Linked DNA regions of Cricetulus griseus. The protein of the gene in region 3 purifies or fractionates together with the protein of the main gene of each other region. This does not show direct contact. Links are inferred from orthologs where the notes say so. Each region holds a gene or a part of one and is shown on either strand. Other genes may lie near its edges.

The links.
Region 1: the proteins of Rps6ka3 (region 3) and Fgfr1 purify together in Homo sapiens (affinity purification with mass spectrometry; 4 studies listed by BioGRID and IntAct, with this or other methods). This does not show direct contact. The link is inferred for Cricetulus griseus from reciprocal best matches to the Homo sapiens genes RPS6KA3 and FGFR1.
Region 2: the proteins of Rps6ka3 (region 3) and Fgfr2 purify together in Homo sapiens (affinity purification with mass spectrometry; 3 studies listed by BioGRID and IntAct, counting the BioPlex papers as one, with this or other methods). This does not show direct contact. The link is inferred for Cricetulus griseus from reciprocal best matches to the Homo sapiens genes RPS6KA3 and FGFR2.

Annotation. Positions count from the first base shown.
Region 1 is NW_023276807.1:58,202,562-58,206,295, reverse strand, and holds the end of Fgfr1 (fibroblast growth factor receptor 1), read left to right. Parts: coding exon 1-46; intron 47-376; coding exon 377-514; intron 515-804; coding exon 805-910; intron 911-1,014; coding exon 1,015-1,191; 3' UTR 1,192-3,168; downstream 3,169-3,734. UniProt on the Homo sapiens protein: Tyrosine-protein kinase that acts as a cell-surface receptor for fibroblast growth factors and plays an essential role in the regulation of embryonic development, cell proliferation, differentiation and migration.
Region 2 is NC_048596.1:70,566,627-70,570,271, forward strand, and holds part of Fgfr2 (fibroblast growth factor receptor 2), read left to right. Parts: intron 1-2,991; coding exon 2,992-3,258; intron 3,259-3,645. UniProt on the Homo sapiens protein: Tyrosine-protein kinase that acts as a cell-surface receptor for fibroblast growth factors and plays an essential role in the regulation of cell proliferation, differentiation, migration and apoptosis, and in the regulation of embryonic development.
Region 3 is NC_048604.1:94,187,161-94,191,292, reverse strand, and holds the start of Rps6ka3 (ribosomal protein S6 kinase alpha-3), read right to left. Parts: upstream 2,879-4,132; 5' UTR 2,647-2,878; coding exon 2,578-2,646; intron 1-2,577. UniProt on the Homo sapiens protein: Serine/threonine-protein kinase that acts downstream of ERK (MAPK1/ERK2 and MAPK3/ERK1) signaling and mediates mitogenic and stress-induced activation of the transcription factors CREB1, ETV1/ER81 and NR4A1/NUR77, regulates translation through RPS6 and EIF4B phosphorylation, and mediates cellular proliferation, survival, and differentiation by modulating mTOR signaling and repressing pro-apoptotic function of BAD and DAPK1.

The DNA.
Region 1 (3,734 bases), on a different chromosome or scaffold from region 3:
CACCCGAGGCCTTGTTTGACCGGATCTACACCCACCAGAGTGACGTGTGAGTTTGAAATACACAATTACCCGGGATATGCTGGGGAAAGAATACTAGCAGTCTTGCATCTCTAGACTGCTGAGAATTTCTTTCCATCATTGGGTGGGGAAGGGCAATGTCTTGTCCCGTGAACATGTTTCAGCCTTTTTTTTGCATTGCCCCTTGCTGCCCCCTTGTCTCCTGTGCCCTGTCTCCTGAACTTAAGGGCTGTGCTGGGGGTGGAGAGGTTCAAGATGAGCACCTGCCCTGCTGACTTCTCAAGAGGACATAGAAAAGAAACCCTAGGGCAGCCTGGCCCTGTGCCGTAAGTCACAGTGGCACCATGTTCTCCTGTAGGTGGTCTTTTGGGGTGCTCTTGTGGGAGATCTTCACTCTGGGTGGCTCCCCATACCCTGGTGTGCCTGTGGAAGAGCTCTTCAAGCTGCTGAAGGAGGGTCATCGGATGGACAAGCCCACTAACTGTACCAATGAGCTGTAAGCATGAATTGGGGGAAAGACTGTGGGGGAAGGCCTGCTGGTAGTTGGCACCATTGAATCCACCGCTGGCAAGCTGGGTCATATGTTGAGGAAATCAGGAAGGGCTCCTTAGGTGGCGGCTCATGGGAGGTTCTTGAAGTCCTCGGGCTCTGAAGGAAGTGGGAGCATGGAGGGCAGATAATGAAACTGTGTGTTTGGAGGGAGCAGCCTCCCGAGTCATGCCGCCCCTGCCCTCTGGCCCAGCTCTGCTGTTGCCTTCCATCTTTGACCTCACTGTCCTGCTTCAGGTACATGATGATGCGGGACTGCTGGCACGCAGTACCCTCTCAGAGGCCCACTTTCAAGCAGCTGGTGGAAGACCTGGACCGCATTGTGGCCTTGACCTCCAACCAGGTAGAGCTACTCTGGGCTGAAACTTGAGCGGTCATCACATAGGCACTAAGGGGACCCTGCCATAAGAAGGTTTGTGTGCCATCTATCCTTTCCTTCTGTCACAGGAATATCTGGACCTGTCGATGCCTCTGGACCAGTACTCTCCCAGCTTTCCCGACACACGGAGCTCTACCTGCTCTTCAGGGGAGGACTCTGTCTTCTCTCATGAGCCGTTGCCTGAGGAACCCTGTCTGCCCCGACACCCGACCCAGCTTGCCAATGGTGGACTCAAAAGACGCTGACTTCCCCGGCCTTTCCCCAATTTCGTCGTCACCTGTGCCCCTCACCCGTAATTCCCTGCGGGACACACTGCCTTTCCCCTTCTCCTTTGCTGCTGGCAAGAGCCAGTGTGTACCTGAGGCCTTCCTGTGAGGCCTACCCCATCGTCACTCCCCACCCCGCCCCAGATCCCTCTTCCTCTTCTCAACCGGCCATGTGAGAAGGGAGTCAAGAGGCAGGTACTTGCTGGTAGCCACTTCCTCCTTCCCAGGTGTTGGACCAAGACCCATCCTGCTGCCTGGTACTCCTTGGAGGCCTGGGGAGTAGAAGCAAGTGGAACAGGTGTGCAAGCAAGAGCTCTCTGGAGTGTTCTGGTTGACTCATTGGCCTCCTGTGTTCTGGTGGCAGCAGCCTTGTGGCTACTGAAGCAATGGGGTTTGTTTCTGTTCGGGCCTTAACTGAAGGCAGTCTCTGCTTCAGATGGGGGGTATCAGTGGCTTCTTAATTCCAATACTAATTTGCTTTGCTGACCAAATACCTGGTACCAGAAGAGAGTGAGGCAGAGATCGGGGGCAGCGATGTGGCCCTGGGGCTGAGCCCTAGACTCGGGGCTCTGTACATAGCTATGAAGAAAACACAAAGTGTATAAATCTGAGTATATATTTACATGTCTTTTTAAAAGGGCCGTTACTAGAGATTTACCCGTTGGGTGAGATGCTCCTGGTGGCTGGGAGGCATCCATTGCTATATATTAAAAACAAAAACAAAAACAAAAAAAAAAAAAGGAAAATGTTTTTTAAAAGGTCATATATTTTTTGCTACTTTTGCTGTTTTATTTTTTTAAATTATGTTTTAGACCTATTTTCAGTTTAGGTCCCTCAATAAAAATTGCTGCTGCTTCATTTTTATCCTGGGCGTGTGAAAAGGGAGCAGATGTCCCCTGCAAAAGAGGGAGACAGGGACTAAGGGGCCATGAGCTGTTGGCACTGTGTGATTTCTATATTTCCCTGACCTCCCAGACCCTTCTATCTCTGATGATTTGGGAAAGACAGGGAAAGAAGACCAAAGTAACGGAGGGCAGAGAACCAAGACTAAGAGCTTGTTCCCTCTGATCATAGATTGTTTCCTCAGAGGAGATGAGACTAGCCAACGGTAGAACAAACCATACAGAGACTCAAAGCCCAAACCCTGTGTGGGTGCGCCTTTGCATCTATGAGAGATGCAAAGCTAGTCTTGTCTTAACCAACCTACTCTCCATTTCCTTTCCCATTCCTATCCTGCCCTTCCTGAGTCCTGTTACCAGGTTGCATTTGTTGTGACTATCCCTGATCTTGGTTTGTAGTTTTTCCTGTACAAACTCCACCCACCCCTCAGGAAAGGAAAAACAATCTTCTTTGGTTTGGGTCTGCTTGGAGACTTACTCCTGCCACCTGCTGGTGGTTATTGTCCTCTTCAGGAGGCACCTTATCATCTTACTCAGACCAGCGCCGCTCTATTCTTAGTGCTTACTGCTGGGTCACTGGGGAATACAAGACAATTCAATATGGCCTCATCCTGCAGGGGTTAGGGCTGCCTCTTTAAATACATTCTGAACGGGGTGTTTTTGGTGGCTGTGGTTTTGGTCATCATCATAGAGTTGTTATCATTGTTTCCCTCTGTAAACCTGTAACTATCAAAGTATTACAAGTGTTTTCTTGTGCTGAAAGGTATAATTCGGCGAAGAGGACCAGGGAATGAATTTTAGCTCAGAATCATCTGCTTAGAGACCATATCATAGTGTCGTTTTCCTTGTTAAAACAGTGACCATAATTTCTGCCTCAGCGCTGCTTGACTCAATGCTGTGTGGATGGATGGGAGGAGAATCTACGGAGTGCTTTGTATGACTCAAGGAAAGGTGCTAGGGTATATAAGGCACTGAAGTCCTTGCTGTTGCTATTCAAATTGCCCACAAATATCCCCTGAGGCAGGGATGGCTATCAAATAAAACATAGTGAAATTGACCTGAAAGAAAATGAAATGGCTATTTTACTTAGGTGACCAGATTGAGTCTCTTGGGAAAGGGAATCCAGCTTATATAATGAAGATGTGCTGTCAAAGTACTGCATCTGTCTGGTTTCCTGGGGGTTAAAATATGGCCAAGGCATCAATCAATACTGCCTTTCAATCCTTTCTAATTGCCAGAGGCTAGAGATCATCAGTCCCTTGGCTCTGTTAATGTAATATATTGATTTCAGGTAAGTAAGATTGAGCATAGATGAAGTAAGAAATGTGCCTTAATGGTAATGAAGTCTGTCTATCAGCTGCCACCGGGTGGAGCCAGCAACCTAAAATCCCCCCACCATATTAGGTAGTGGGCCACTTTGCTCTGAAGTAACAGACCTACCTTCCATTTGGAATCCTTGGCCTGGATTTAGTATTCTAAAACTCTGGACGTGACCAATATGGCTTGTGCAGAATTAGACCTGTTACAAGTGCTGGGTGATACTATTAAATAAAATGCCACCAACAACTATTATGGCAGACTCCTGTGTAAGGTGTGAGCTGTGTCTAGTGTCACTCCAGGTGC
Region 2 (3,645 bases), on a different chromosome or scaffold from region 3:
GGCTGAGAGGCTATGCAGGGCAGAGTGGAAATCCACTCATGTGTCCTGTACCCGGGACAGTGCCTCTTTACCAAACATCCTGTCCCCTGCACTACCTGAGAGCCCCTCTCCATCCTGTGTTTCTCATGGCAGAACTAGAAATAGTGGTGCAGTATGGTCCAATTGGTCCAGCATGGTCTGGCAGTGCAGCCTGAATTCATTGAGTCTTGAGCCTTTGTTGATATCATGTGGAGGAAGGGCTTCTCAGTGGGTAGGGTAGCCTTTAAGGCCCTACCATTTTCTAATGTTGTGTGAATCTCTTTCAGGGATGCTAGGACTAGAGTGAGAGGAAGTGTGAGTGTTGGGGTCGAATTGAATCCCCCTTCCTCTCCATATTTCTCTTCCTTGACCTTAAAAAATATAAACCTTTTATTTTACTTGCTGTCATTATTATTGGTATTTATTATTAGTACTACTGAGTGTGTGTATGATGTATGAGTGTGTGTGTGGTCTCATGTGCCACGTTGCATATGTGGAGGTCAGAGTTGCAGTCTTGTAGGGTCAGTTTTCTCCTCTGTTTCCACCTGTTCATGGGCTTCTGGGACCAGTCTTGGCTTGGGGCAGGAGTGCCTTCATCCTCTGAGCCTTCTTGACAGACCCGCCTCTCCCTCATTCTGTTAGCTGCTCAGTTCAGCTGCCTCTTGGTTTAAACAGGCCTGGGAGACCTGATCTGAGAACCTCCCAACTGAACTCTCTACATCTTTCAAATTTGGCTTTGTGCTTTACTTGCCAGCACACAGGGCACCTGCTACTCCTTGTAAGAGCCTCCTCCCATCACCTCCTACAACAGAAGCTGAAATACCTTCTGTGAGGGCAACACTTTCAATGTTTGGGGCTTGCAGGCCATGAGATCTCTTTTGCAATGACTCCAGCCCGCCCTTGTAACACAAAAGCAACCCCAGACAATACATACCCAAAGGAGTATGGCACTGCTCCAAGAAGTCTTTGTTTATGAAAGCAAGTGGCTGGCTTGGCCCTTAGGCCTTGCTTTGCTGACTCCTGCAGCCCGTGGGGCCTTCATCCACCATCTCCAGGTGGCCTGCTACCTAGGTATCTCACTCTAAGACTACCTCACACACTTCATATTTTCTGTCAATTTTCTATTTAATTTCCTTTGCCTTATTAGAGTGGAAGGTCCACCAGAGCAGGGACTCTGCCTTGTCTCCTGTTGCTTCCTGAGCACACCGAACAAAGCATGGCCTGTGGTAGATATTCAATAAACAGTGGACGAGTGAGAAAAACAAGCCCTTAAACTTTACCTGGCTGTCAGTTGGGTCTTGCTTTCTGCCCACCCCCCTCTCCGCCTTTTGTTTTTCTTTTTCATCAACTCCTATCTTCTTCCTTAATGTGGGTTTCCCTCTGTGTTCATGCACTGTTTAACGTCTGTGCCCCTCTTGGCTTGTGTGCGTTTGAATGGGATCCCCTGTGAAAAGCCCCGGGCCCCTTGTGTTGGCTGCTGCTGCTGCTGTGCTGGTATTTCTTGGACCAGATGTTTATTAAATAGTGGGACTAAAGCATGAATGGACTGTATTTTAGTCATGTGGGAGATTTGTTCTTTTGAGTGGGCTCTGGGCAGAATAAGTGCCTTGTGATGCCCAGATGTTGCTGCCCAGATCTGGAATCGTCCCAGAGTAGACGGAAAGCATTGTGTTTTCTGGGCTCAAGACTCTGGGTACCATTCACAGCTCTCACTATGGGCATGAAAGCTTACTTCATGGGCCCTCAGGGTCACCCTGGCCCTGAGGAAGGGCAGTGGTCTCATCTCTCCCTGCCTCTTCAGGGACTGTGATGACGTTCAGTATGCCTGCCTTCTCTGTGTATGTCAAAGGTGCCCCAGGATGGAGATGGGAGTGAGGCATGAAGACCTATCAGAGTTGAGCTTTCCACCCGGGACTCGAAGGTTTCCTCAGGAAGTCAGGACACTCACAGGCAATGTGTCTATTCCAGTGGGGTTTTTTTTTTGGGGGGGGGTGCAGATAGATGGACTTTAGAGTGGGAGAGATCTCTTTTATTTCCAGTCAGGTGACTGATATGGGGTGGTGGATCATGGAGGACCATGATTAATGTGGGCATCAAAGGAGGAGCTGGGCTAAACAGGAGCAGGAGGGAGGACAATGTGTTCATAAAGAAGAGAAGGATGTTGAGGAGACTGGGGACTGGGGCAGGATGGCTCTGGCTTCACTAGTAACATGAGAGGTGGGCATCCTTATTCAGAAGCTGATTTGCAGTATCGGGCCATTAATTGTCAGGGACCCCCCTCCTTTTCTTTCTTTTGATGTAAAGGGTAGCCAGGCATGTATTATTTTGAGGAAGACAGCGTTTCCCAGCTCACCCAATACAGAACCAGCTCAGTACTGATTGGACCATGAGAGCTAACAAAAATGAGAAAGTCAATAGTCCCCACTTCCCAAATGACCAAGAGTGTGTAGATGGGTCCATTTGCCCTTGAATTTGAGACATTTCACAAAAGCTTGGTTCTGTGGTAACAGGCTAAGTGAAACATGAGTAAATAGTTAAGTCAGTCTGAGAGAGAGAGAGAGAGAGAGAGAGAGAGAGAGAGAGAGAGAGAGAGAGAGATCGCATACACCTCCCTCATGTTGAATGACTAACTTGGCAATCAGTACCTTTAGACTTTTCTTACGGATTTTCCCTCTACTCTGGGGCATGGCTGGTTTTTAAAGCCCTGTTTACAGTATGTGGAAACAAACCAACACAGGACAGCTTCTGGCTGCTTCTGTGGCCGTTGTTTCCAGGGCTGTCAGTCAAGTCTGTGTGGGGGCTGCTTCCTGGCTTCTGGGGTGTGGTGAGAGATGGGCAGCTCCTGAGGCCATTTGTAAAACAAGAACAGCGTCTCCTGGGAAAGAACTGGCCTCCACTGACCTTTGTTGGACCTTCTCTCCTCTCCCTCCTTTCCCATCTGCCTCTGTCTTCTCTCTCCCACCTGTTCTACAGAGCCACCAACCAAATACCAAATCTCCCAACCAGAATCGTACGTGGTCGCCCCCGGGGAGTCGCTAGAGTTGCACTGCATGTTGAAAGATGCCGCGGTGATCAGTTGGACTAAGGATGGGGTGCACTTGGGGCCCAGCAATAGGACAGTGCTTATTGGGGAGTACTTGCAGATAAAAGGCGCCACACCTAGAGACTCCGGCCTCTATGCTTGTACTACAGCTAGGACGGTAGACAGTGACACTTGGTACTTCATGGTGAATGTCACAGGTGAGTGGGCTTGCAAGTGTGACACTCTGTCTCTTCTGTAGCTGTTTTCTGATTGAAAGTTGTTATTATTTTCGGCCAAGTGAAATCACAGTGAACTGTACTCATTGACTGCCAGGCACATAAAGTGTCAGCTTGCTATTCATTCCAGACAAGGTCTTCCTTTGTTGCCCAGGCTGGGCTTGAACTCCTAGACTCATCGCCCCACCCCCACCCCCACCCTACACACACACACACACACACACACACACACACACACACAAGCCGATACCACAGGCATAGACTACTATGCCTGGCTGATCTATTTCTGAAATTCCTCACTGGTACCTGATGTACCACAGATTTCTCAAGTGACCGAGATATTCCAAGTCAGAGCACACAGAGTCCTCT
Region 3 (4,132 bases):
TATATATAGATGTATATTTATATATAATATATTATGTATATTAATGCTTTCCCAAATCAGATCCTGTATTTGCTTATGAAGAATACATGATCTCTAACTATTATCATGTTTATGCCTTGACTCTTTTCACAAAAGATTTGAAGCACCTATTCTATTTTGGCTGTGAGCTTAGACTTTAATGGCTGAGCCATCTCTCCAGCCCGAAGCACCTATTGTAACATAAAGGAAAGCACACAAATTGTATCTACCTGGCTTCAAATATGGCTCTGCCATTCACTAATTACAATTTTTGTGCTTTTAAGTACTGAATTTAGTTTCCTAACCTGTAACAATGGAGACCACAATCTCTGCTGAGTTACAGGAAAGATTAAAAAACAGTAGGTACAGCACAGTACCTTTGCATATATATTAGATGCTAAATAGGCTTGTATTTTATTTAAATGCACACTATACAGAAAAAGGATAAAGTAGAATTTTTAATGATTTCTCTCTACATACTGACACGTGCCAAGGAAAAATGTGGATTAACAATTTAACAAGCAAAGGAAACAAACTATCTAAAGGCAATTTGTTGAGGTATAGCTTTAATTTTAAATCATTTTTAATGTATGATTGGATTAATTTTGAATCATATTTGTTTTTGTGTGTATTTAAAAAGCAGACTCATACCTGGGCATGGAGGCACACTCCTTTAACCCCATGCTTGGGAGGCAGAGGCAAGCAGATCTCTGTGAGACCAAGGCCAGCCTGCTCTACATAGTTCCAGGTGAGCCTGGGTTGTCTCAAAAAACTTTTAAAAAGTCCCACAAAACTAAATTAAAAAGCAGATTCTAAGTATATACAATTTCATTGACAGGTGTGGCACTTTGGGAACATTTTAATCACCTTGATAAACTGTATTTTTAAATGCGATTTTTTTTCTGAAGAAACAAAAAATGAAGAGGATCCCTTGCCAGACTGTTTTTCACACTATCCATTCAAATGGTGATTAAACATTCTAAATTTAACTTTGTTACTAAAGACTTATAGAATCACATCGGCTCTCAAATTTAAATAAAATTCTTGTATTTCTGTCAGTCTTAAAAACGCGATTTTTCTTTTTTCCTTAAAAAAAAACCATGGCAATATATATCTACATCTATGTCTCCTTTATTTTTGAACAGCATTTAGATATTAAATGCATTATCTAGTAGCAAAATATATTAAGTATGGGCTTGTATGCTTTATTACAACTCTTCCTGCATTTAGGAAGATCAAATAAATTATATGGCAGTGGAGTGACTAGGGAGAAAACCTGAAAGACGATTTGATTGGATTCCTCTTTCCTCCCCTTCCCCCTCCAGGAGATTGTAAGTGTCCTGCATCTCACACCAAACTGAGCCTGAGTTTTACTGACGTAACCAGTAACCCTATCTACCTCTCACACTGCGGAGGCCGGCAGGGGCAGCGGCTGCCGCCAAGTACACCACTCATCAGAGCCTGCCCCATTCCACCCCCGCGTTTCAGTCATGCTTTCCAGAAATGGGGTCACTCGCTCAGTAACTATTACACACACCCAGCCTATCATCCTGTAATCCCCTAAAGTCCGCTGCGAGGATAGAAGGCAGCGAAAAGTCAAGAAAGAAGAATCACAGACGCGCCACCATCAGGAACTGATTTTTCCACTCTGGAGAAGAGCGCTGATACCCTGGAATGGATCTTGTCTGTATTATTTTCTCAGATCTCGAGTTGATTCTGGGACAGGGCGGCTGCGAAAAGCTCGGTGCAGGGATGTGTTCGCAGAAATTCTGTTTTGCCTTGTTTGGGTATATTGTTTGGGCTTTTTGACACTGGGGTGGGTATCTCAGGGATGGTCACCAGATCCCGGGCGAAGAAAACCAGAGAGCCCATTACAGCGACCGCTGATCTCCTTGAATTTCACCCGCTCACCTCCACCGACAAGAAAGAAAGTTATACTCGGGGTCTTACAACTCAGTGACCACCCCCCAAACAGGGAGTAGGGGACCGGAGACGTCTGGTTTTTCTTGTGCGGCAGCAGAAAGCGCTGCAGCAGATGGGGGGGGGTGACCCTCAGTCCTGTACCCCTTACTCAAAACCCTCAACACTCTGCCCGGCGTGTGCCCGTCTCTCTGCAGCAACTCCCTCGCTCGGCCAGACTCAAGTCTTGGCTCCAGGGTGAACCGAACCCATTACCCCAAAGTCGCTAAGATTCCGGAGAAGCCCCCGGAGCCGGCAGGGCCAAACTTCCCAACTCCCCGCCGGCTCCCGCTCTGCCTCCTGCTTCCCCCACGCAAAGTTGATTAAAACCGGCTTCTTGCAAAGCCTCAGCGCCCACTCCAAAACCCCACGCGCCGCCACACCGGCAGCCGCCCCCCCAAAAAAAAGCCAGGGAGAGGTGAGGGTGAAGGAGGGAGGAATAGACAGATGGGCAAACCCCAAAGACCCAAAGCAGAATCCCGCACCCGGGACAAGATGTGAGCCCAAGAAGGTGGTCAAAGGGGCAGCTCCAGGGAAGAGAGCTAGCCGGCGGAGGCGTGGGGAAGGGGCGCGCCTGCCCCGCCGCCCGGCTGCACTCACCTCAGCGCTGTCGGAAGGGCTCTCCACAGCCATCTTCTGCCACGGGTCCGCCAGCTGCGCCAGCGGCATCTTCCCCCCCCCCGGCCCGCCGCTTTCACCACCTCCTCCCTCCCCACCCGCCCCACGGCCGGCCCGGCTCCTTCGCCGCTCGAGCGCAAGGCAGAGTCGAAAAGCCGCAGCAGAACAGCCGCGGCTCCCGAGAGCGAGCTCGACGCCGACACTGACCGCCCGAACGCCCAGCGCCTGGCCACAGCCGTCCGCACTCCGAGCGAGAGCCTCGCGCCGCCGCCAGGCACCAGGGCTCGCCCCTTTCTTCCTCTCCTCCTTCCGCCGCCCGGACTACGGCTCCGCCCCCCACCTCCCCTCCCCGCCGGTTCCCGCGCCCGCTTCCAGCAGAACAGCGACCGCCGCGCGCTCCCCCACTTCCGCTCACAACATGGCGTCTAAGCGATACCTGTCTCTCAGAGCGAGGCTGGGCCTCCGCCACCACCACCGCGCGCACCCAGGGGCGTGGCTAGTGCAGGACACGCCCTTGGGCCGCTACGCTCGGCTCCTCCCCTTTCCCACCCCCACCCCTCCCTCCTCCTTCTCCCCAGCTTTGGCTTCTGGGCCTCGCCTACTTTCAGGAAGGGCGAGCCCAAGAGATTTGGGGGCGTTGGCGGGAGATGGGGGTGGGGGGGAGAGAAATGGGCAATGCAGGAAGGACAAGAGGCTGGGTGACTTTAACTTTTACGAAACCTAAGCAGGTTGGGGGCTCATTGAGAGTGGTTCGCGCTCAGCTGGAGAAGCTAGGCAGGGCGCTGGGGGCGCAGTCCCGTGCTAGCAGCCCGGGGCGGAGGCGGGAGATGTCTTTTCGGCCTTTCTCCTCCAGGGGTGCGTGTGGGCGCGCCTAGGCTATGGGCACAGCCCCTCCTGACCCAAGACTCCCCCTCTTCAGGGTCACATGCTGAGTATTCACCTGACCCCTTTTCTCCTCCTTGGACGAGGACTCCAGAGGCTTCGTGCCTGGGAGCCAGCCGCATGGTAGGTTCAGCTCCCAGTTTGATTCAGAGCTTTTCAAGTTGATTCTCGTGTTAAATTGTTAGTATTTGGGGTTTTTTTCGTCCCACCCTACCTCTGCCCCAATAACCCTTCCCAAGTGCATAGAGCCCTCGAGTTTCAGCCCAGACTATCACACCCCTCCCTTGCTATCTAAATCTTCAAACAGAAAACAGAGGTTCCTTAAGGTTGCCCTTCTTGGCAGAGATTAAGGAGTTAGTAAAAATATCTTGTAGGCAGGAGCGCGGGGTTCCTGCTCCTCCGTTGACTTTAAATAAAAGATTAGATTTTTATTTTTTTTTTTTAAGTCAAGCTGGTCGTAGGCGGAGGAGAAAGGGAGGGGGAGGTTGTGACTCCTCCTCCTGCCCAAGAAAAGGAAGCCCTGGGTTAAGGGAACCCAATCCCCAGTAGGCATCGGAGCCGCAGAATTCTAAGACTTTGAGAATTAAGGGCCTGGGCACTTGGAGTGGGTTCCAAGGATGTTCAATCCTGGGTTCTTAGCGCCTGCTGCTTAGGC